Linked DNA regions of Callithrix jacchus. The protein of the gene in region 1 purifies or fractionates together with the protein of each later gene. This does not show direct contact. Links are inferred from orthologs where the notes say so. Each region holds a gene or a part of one and is shown in the gene's direction. Other genes may lie near its edges.

Region 1 (4,296 bases):
GGCTCTGCAGGTGGGGCGTACTGATTCATTCATTGCCCAGTTAAAATACCAGGAGGATCTGGGCAGCCTCTTCCCAGGAGCTGCTCATCCTCAAAGAATCTGTCTTCAATGAAAGCTTCCTCCTGCCCTCCTTTCTATTCTTGCACCTCAGGCGTGAACCTTTCTCCCCACTGCCTCTACCTGCCCCCGGGTCCTGTGCCCCTCATCCTATGCAGAGCCAAGTTTCTCTTAGCTGCTTTGTGACTGGTTGGTCCTGGGGTGGCTTCATGGAACACAACCTGTGGTATGCACCAATGAAGATTCCCATATAGGACCAGAAACTGTTTTTGAAAAATGTAACCGGATGGAAGGCGAGAAAAAAAAATGTCAGCACTAAAAAATGCTGGCCATAGCTTTTGCTAAGGAAAGGAATTTGGTGTTATCTGCTCGCACCCACAGCCTGGCTGGGAAATGACTGTCTTCAGCCCATCCCCCTGTGAGCCACAGTGAGGGTCCTGGCTTGGAAGTGCCTGTCATGCCTGTCGCGGTGCACAGGATCCCTGAGGAGCGTGAGCTGGGATTTCCTCTGTGAGCCACATCACGGGAGCCTGAGTGACCAGCACATCCTCCACTCGTAACCAGAGTCCTGTCCCCTCTCCCAAGTGGCCACCCTTGCTCTGGCCCTCTAGTTCTCTCTCTTGCCTTCCAGAAAATGCCAAGAGAGAGGCTTCCTTGGTCAGGACAGTCAGTGCTGAGACTTGTGGAGTTGGGACCAATGGGATTTCTTAAAAAGCATCTTTCTGCCTCTGGCTGGGTCTATGGGGGTCAAACAGACACCCTGTGGGCCATTTGTTGGTGGGGTGGCAAATGAACTTGGCTTGTTTTGAGAATGCCTGAGGGCCCAGGGACAATTAAAAGCCGGAGCTCATTTTGATATCTGAAAACCACAGCCACCAGCACGTGGGAGGTGCTGGAGAGCAGGCTTGGGCCAAGCCTCACACGCCCCCTCTCTCTGGGTCACCTGGGAGTGCCAGCAGCAATTTGGAAGTTTGCTGAGCTAGAGGAGAAGTCTTTAGGGAGGGTTTGCCCTGAGCACACCCCTTTCCCTCCCCCCGGGGCTGAGGGAAACAGGGGACCAGCCCTGCCCCAGCCTGTCCTCATTGGCTGGCATGAGGCAGAGGGGGGCTTTAAAAAGGCAACCGTGTCTCGGCTGGGGACCAGAGCCTGTGCTACTGGAAGGCTGCGTGCCCTCCTCTGGCTGGCACCATGCAGCTCCCTCTAGCCCTATGTCTCATCTGCCTGCTGGTGCACGCAGCCTTCTGTGTGGTGGAGGCCCAGGGGTGGCAGGCCTTCAAGAACGATGCCACGGAAATCATCCCTGAGCTGGGAGAGTACCCCGAGCCTCCACCAGAGCTGGAGAACAACAAGACCATGAACCGGGCGGAGAACGGAGGGCGGCCTCCCCACCACCCTTTTGAGACCAAAGGTATGGGGTGGAGGAGAGAATTCCTAGTAAAAGGGTCCTGGGGAGGTTTTAGAAACTTCTCTTTGGGAGGCTTTGAAGACTGGGGTAGACCCAGTGAAGACTGCTGGCCTCTGCCAGCACTGGTGGAAGAACAGTTTTGACTGGAGGCGGGGGAAGGATGGCTCTGGTGCAGCCTTTGAATTCAGGTGCAGGGGCATGAGGCCAGGTGGAGTCTGTCAGTGAGAGTCCAGGGCAGGGAGGAGGCTGGGGTGGTGAGGGTATGGCATCAGGGCATCAGAACAGGCTCAGGGGCTCAAAAAAGAAAAGGTTTCAAAGAATCTCCTCCTGGGAATATAGGAACCACGTTCAACTGCTGGTACCATTGGGGAGGGAACAAGGTGAGGGAGCCTCCCATCCACAGAGCAGCAACTGTGGGGTGCCAGACACTCTATGCTGCCTGTGGCTGTCCCCACCACACAGGAATCCCAGGAGGTGAACCCCCAGCTCAAAGGGAAAGAAACAGGTTCCAGGCACTCAGTAACTTGGTAGTGAGGAGAAGAACTTGGTTTGATTCAACTGCAAGACAGCCCTGGTGTGCAGGTGTGCTGGGGACAGATCCCCACAAAGCAGTGGGGAGGAAGGCCAGAGAGGCACCCCTGCAGTGTGCATTGCCCATGGCCTGCCCAGGGAGCTGGCATTTGAAGGAATGGGCATTGTCGGCACAGGTTTAGCCCCTGACATGGGTGCAGCAGTGTCCAGGTCCTAGAGGGCACACAGCATCCTCTGTGCCGGAGTAGGCACATCTGTCCTCAGTGGCCAGCCCAGTCCCAGCCTTGCCTCATTCCAGGGGAGGGAGAAGGAAAGGAGAACCCTGACAGGTTCCTGTCAGGCCTGCACAGAGAAGCCCAGTTGACAGTGTGCACATTTGCTTCTACGGTTGGCAGGAATCACGGGGCTGTGGGTGGGGACAGGAGTGACACTTCAGACCAAGGGCTTCACTGCCCTCTGGCCATTATCCAGGTGGCAGAGAAGCCCACTGCCCAGGCTCCTGCACCCCAGCCTTCTCTGCCTCACAACATGTTGGGGTTATGGGGTGCTAAAAAGGGCCACCACAGGGGAGGCCAGCCAGGACCCTGTGCCTTTGAAATGGAGGGCAAAGGTGCCTCCTCCCACAGCCCCCCTTCTAGGCAAGGTCAGCTGGCCTCCAGTGACTGCCTGAAGGGCTGTAGGGAACCCAAACACAAGCTGTCCACCTTGCTGGGCTTCCCTGAGGCGCCACGGCCCCGAGGAAGCCACATGCTCAAAACAAAGTCACAATCTGCAGAGGAAGTGACTGACCTAAGGGCACTATTCTTGGAAAGCCCCAAAATGCCCCCTTCCCTGGGCAAAGGCCCCCCCAGTACACATCCCAGCCCTACAAAGGTGAGGGTGCAAACCAGAAAGCAACCCCAGACGATGGCAGTGGCCACATCTCCCCTGCTGTGCTTGCTCTTCAGAGTGGGGGTAGGGTGGGAGTGGCCTTCTCTGCCCCCTCTCTGGTTTGGTCTGAAGACTATTTTTGATTCTTTCATGTCACATCGGAACTATCCCCATGAAACCTCTGGGGGTGGACTGGTACTCACACAAGGACCAGCTATTTAAAAAGCTCCCACCCAAGTCCACAGTAGGAGACATGGTCAAGGTGTTCTCAGGGGATCAGGCCATTCCTCCAAACCCAATCTCCGCCCGCCCAGGGAGTATCACCATGAGGTGCCCATTCAAATAACACAGAACAAGAAATGTGCCCAGCAGACAGCTGGGTGAATGTATGTGGCTGCTGCACCTGTAGGTTTTGGTCAGAGTTGAGGCCTCTACTAGAGCAAAAAGCAGCCCTCAGCTCTGTCCCCCAGCCCAGCCTCCCACCAGTGCTCGAACGCACAGCCTCCACTCTTATGGGAGCCAAAAGGTGCTGCGACCCCAGGAAGTGAAGTCTGGATCACACAGCCCTGTCTTTTGGGCACGTTCTTTTCTGTGGCTGGGCCTCAGTATTCTTACTGATAACGAGAGGGTTGGACACTGTGCCTTTGATTCCTTTCAAGTCTAATGAATTCCTATCCTGATCACCTCCCCTTCTGTCACCTCCACAGCAGCTGCCCTGATTTATTACCTTCAATTAACCTCTACTCCTTTCTTCATCTCCTGTTCACCTCCCCCCAAGTGGCTGGGAAAGGAATTTGGGAAAAGCCAGAGCCAGGCAGAAGGTGTGGCGAGTACTTACTTACCCTGCCCAGGCCAGGGTCCCTGCGGCATAAGTGTGGCTTAAATCATAAGAGGACCCGTAGGAGAGAAATAATAATAATACATAATAACAGCTGATGCTTCCAGCTGTGTGTGCCAAATGGCATTCTCTGCATTGCGTGCCTAATGGATTAACTCACAATGCTTGGGGCAGCCCATTTTACAGACTGGAAGAGAGAGGTTAAGGAACTTGCCCAAGATGCCACCTGCAGTGAGCGATAGCCCTGGTGTTTGCACCCCAGCAGCCATTTGGCTCTGAGGAGACAGGGTGCGCAGGAGAGCTTTCCACCAGCTCTAGAGGATCTGGGACCTTCCTGCAATAGGTGTTCAGGGGCAAAAACCTCTGGAGACCGGGAGAGGCGGGCTTTGCAAAAGCAGGGCTGGGGTGGAGGGGGCCAGGACGGGCCAGAGCTGTGGTGGCCGCGTGGGCGGCCACCCTCACGCGTGTCTCTCTCCGCAGACGTGTCCGAGTACAGCTGCCGCGAGCTGCACTTCACCCGCTACGTGACCGACGGGCCGTGCCGCAGCGCCAAGCCGGTCACCGAGCTGGTGTGCTCCGGCCAGTGCGGCCCCGC
Region 2 (3,805 bases), on another chromosome or scaffold:
TCATGATCCTCCTGCCTCTGCCTCCCAAAGTGCTGGGATTAAAGATGTAAATCACTGCGCCTGGCCTTTTTTTTTTGTTTATTTTAATTTTTTTAGACAGGGTCTCGCTCTGTTGCCCAGGCTGGAGTCCAGTGGTGCAGTTACTCTTGGCTCACTGCAGCCTCTGCCTCCCGGGCTTAAGTTATGCATCTCCGCACCCAGCTAATTGTTTGTATTTTATATGGAGACAGATTTCACCATGTTGCCCAGGCTGGGCTTGAATTCCCGGACTCAAGCAATCTGCCCACCTCGGCCTCCTAAAGTGCTGAGACGGCAGGCGTGAGCCACACCGCACCTGGCCTGTTTGACCTGTTTTGGAGTTGACGGTTAACTGGCATTCAGTTCACATTGTAGCCGTCACTGCCATCCATCCCCAGACCACTTCACCTTCTCGCACTGAAACTGTCTGCTTGGAACCCCCACTCCGCATTTCCCTCCGACAGCCACCGTTCTACTTTTGTCTCTCTCTGACTTCTCTACGTACCTCAGATAATTGGAATTATCCATATTTGCCCTTCCATAACTGGCCTCTTTCACATAGCATGATGTCCTCAAGGTGCATCTGTGTTGTAGCCTGTGTCAGAACTTCCTTCCTGAAAGCCTGGATAATAACTCACTGAAAGGCCTGGCGTGGTGGCTCACACCCTGTCATTCCCGCACTTCGGGAGGCCGAGGTGGGCAAATCACTTGAGGTTAGGAGTTCGAGATCAGCCTGGCCAACATAGTGAAACCCTGGCTCTGCTAAAGATATAAAATTAGCCAGGTGTGGTGGTGTGTACTTGTAATCTCAGTTACTTGGGAGGCTGAGGCAGAATTGCTTGAACCCAGGAGCCGGAGGTTGCAGTGAGCCAAGGTTGTGCCACTGCACTCCAGCCTGGGCAACAGAGTGAGACTCTGTCTCAAAACAAAAACAAGCCAGGCGCGGTGGCTCATGCTTGTAATCCCAGCACTTTGGGAGGCCAAGGCAGGCAGATCACAAGATCAGGAGTTGGAGACCAGCCTGGCCAACACAGTGAAACCCCGTCTCGACTAATAATACAAAAATTAGCTGGGCGTGGTGGCAGGTGCCTGTAATCCCATCTACTCAGGGGGCTAAGGCAGGAGAATCACTTGAACCCAGGAAGTTACAGTGAGCCAAGATCACACCATTGCACTCTGGCCTGAGCAACAAGAGTGAAACTCCTCAAAAAAAAAAAGAAAAGAAAAAGGATATGTCAGTCTGTGGATAGATGGACCACATCTTGTTATTTGCCTGTCTGTGCTCGGTTGCTTCCACCTCATAGTTGCCATGAATAAGGCTGCTATGGACATTTCCTTCCGTGGGGAAGTTTTCGTACTAGTGAGGAAAAGTCGCGTTGCTTGTGGTGCCACACGTAAGAAAGTTTGTGTTAACCACAAGTATTTGTACTTCATTAAAACGAGAGCTCAGGGTTTACGAAACTGGCCAGCTGTGTAAAGTTTGCTGTGCTGTTTTGTGCCGGGAGGAGTGTGGCCGGGGTGTCATGTACTGTGTGGCACAGTACGCGTTTCTCAGATGGCTTTTCTCCAGACTGCCGTCCCAAAGTCTGGTTTTGCATCTGGTTCCCACAGACCCGCCCTCCACGGTGAGCCTGATTTTGGCCAGGGTAACTGGAATCTTGCTTGTCTTCCAGCCTGGTGGCTGTGCCAGGCCAGAGTCCCCAGCTAGGGAGCTCTGTGACTTTTAGGAAAGAATTTGTTCAGTTGGTGTTGACGCACAGCCCCCTGGGGTCCACAGCTCTGCGGTGATGTGGATGTTGCTTTCTACAAAGACACGTGGTCCTTTGTGTCCAGATGACAGTGATGATGTCTTTGCAGGTGCCCAGCAAGGCTGGACCAGAGGCTGCTCTGTGTGTGGGGCGGGGGGTGGGGGACAGGGGAGGGATGCACCCTTTCCATCTGGGTCCAAGAGACTGGACCTGGGAAGAAGCTTCTTTTTATCTTCTTGGAGAGTTTGTTTTAATTGCATATTTTCGAGACAGGGTCTTACTTTGTCACCCAGGCAGGGGTGTGGTAGTATGAGCACAGCTCACTGCAGCCGCAACCTCCCAGGCTCAAGCAGTCCTCCCACCTCAGCCTCCTGAGTAGCTGGGACTACAGGTGTGTGCCACCACACCCAGCTAGTGGTTTTTTTTTTTTTTTGGTTGGTTGGTTTAGGTTTTTTTTTTTTGATACAGATGGGATCTTGCTATGTTGCCCAGAATTGTCTTGAAATCCTGGGCTCAAGTGATTCTCCCACTTCAGTTTCCCCATGGCAGGTGTGAGCCGCTGCTGCCTCCCTGTTTTATTAACTGCTGAAAGACCTAGATAAAGAAAGTCTGAAAAAACTTACAGTCAGAGCCCCATCCTAAGATGATGACTCAAGGGAAAGGGAGGGGAGCTTTTCCTTCAGGCCTGAGTGGCAGCAGCCCAGGTGCTCCAGGCTGTCACTCGGTCGGGAACTTGGATGCAGCTGTCTTTCAGGGTAACCCAAAGAGACCAGATCCCGAGGGGCAGTAGGCTTCTGGGCCGTCCCCTCCTCCTACATCAGTTCAGTAAGATCCCTTTGAAGGGATGCTGTGTCACAGGCTCCAAGAGCCCAGGCTCATCCCTGAGATGCAGAGGGTGGCCTGGGCTCAGGCAGCACTCAGAGGATCTCCTGGGTGGTGACCGTGGACAGTATGGGGAGGGAGAGTTCTTGAGAGCCACTGAGAGATGTGGCTGCCTTCCCAAGAGGGGCTACGGGTCATTCTGTACACTCACCTGCCCCACCCACCCTCACCTGGCCCCCAGCCTCACCTCCCCTACCCTGCATGTGTACTAGCCTCTGGACCCTCACCTGCCCTATACCCTCACCTGCTCAACTCACCCGACCCTGCACTGTCACCTTTCCCCCCCTTCACCTAGTCCCTCACTCTCACCTGTCCCCCACCATCACCTGCCCTTTACCCCATACCTGGCCTCCTTCCCTTGGGGAGGGGGTGGCCCGGGGTCTCTGCCAGTTCCCCGGGGGTCTCCAGCCAGTGCCCAGGGGTCTCTACCAGTGCCTGGGAGTTTCCAGCCAGTGTCTGGGGGTCTCCGCCAGTGCCTGGGGGTCTCCAGCCAGTGTCTGGGGGGTCTCCTTCAGTGCCTGGGGTTTCTGCCAGTGCCCCGGGGGTCTCCGCCAGTGCCCGGGGGTTTCCAGCCAGTGTCTGGGGGGTCTCTGCCAGTTCCCAGGGGTCTCCGCCAGTGCCCACGGATCTCTGCCAGTGCCTGGGGGCCTCTACCAGTACCTGGGGTCTCTGCCAGTGCTTACGACTCTGTCTCGGTTTCTTTGTCTTACAGCCCTTTGTTTTGACCTCTCTGAGCCAAGCCCAAAACCCAGACAGGCAGCCCCACGACCTCAGCATCGACATCTACAGCCGGACGCTGTTCTGGACATGTGAGGCCACCAACACCATCAACGTCCACAGGCTGAGCGGGGAAGCCATTGGGGTGGTGCTGCGTGGAGACCGCGACAAGCCCAGGGCCATCGTCGTCAACGCAGAGCGAGGGTAGGAGGCCAATGGTTGGGTGGGCAGGGGTGCCGCGCCCCACCCAGGTACGCCCGCCATGTCTTCCATAGGGAGTGTCAGCCTCTCCCAGGCTGGGAGGATTTTCCACCCCAGTGATCCAGTGGGTGGCTTTCCAGTATCCCAGGAGCAAACACAAACTCATTCACAGCCCCTCCAGGGAAGCAGAAAGCCCCGAGGGCTGGAAGGGAAGGGGTAGCTCTGCTGAGGGGTTACGA

What was found.
Region 2: the proteins of SOST (region 1) and LRP5 purify together in Homo sapiens (affinity purification with mass spectrometry; 3 studies listed by BioGRID and IntAct, counting the BioPlex papers as one, with this or other methods). This does not show direct contact. The link is inferred for Callithrix jacchus from reciprocal best matches to the Homo sapiens genes SOST and LRP5.

What each region holds. Positions count from the first base shown.
Region 1 is NC_133506.1:70,626,932-70,631,227, reverse strand, and holds the start of SOST (sclerostin), read left to right. Parts: upstream 1-1,198; 5' UTR 1,199-1,245; coding exon 1,246-1,465; intron 1,466-4,181; coding exon 4,182-4,296. UniProt on the Homo sapiens protein: Negative regulator of bone growth that acts through inhibition of Wnt signaling and bone formation.
Region 2 is NC_133511.1:125,303,255-125,307,059, forward strand, and holds part of LRP5 (low-density lipoprotein receptor-related protein 5), read left to right. Parts: intron 1-3,360; coding exon 3,361-3,569; intron 3,570-3,805. UniProt on the Homo sapiens protein: Acts as a coreceptor with members of the frizzled family of seven-transmembrane spanning receptors to transduce signal by Wnt proteins.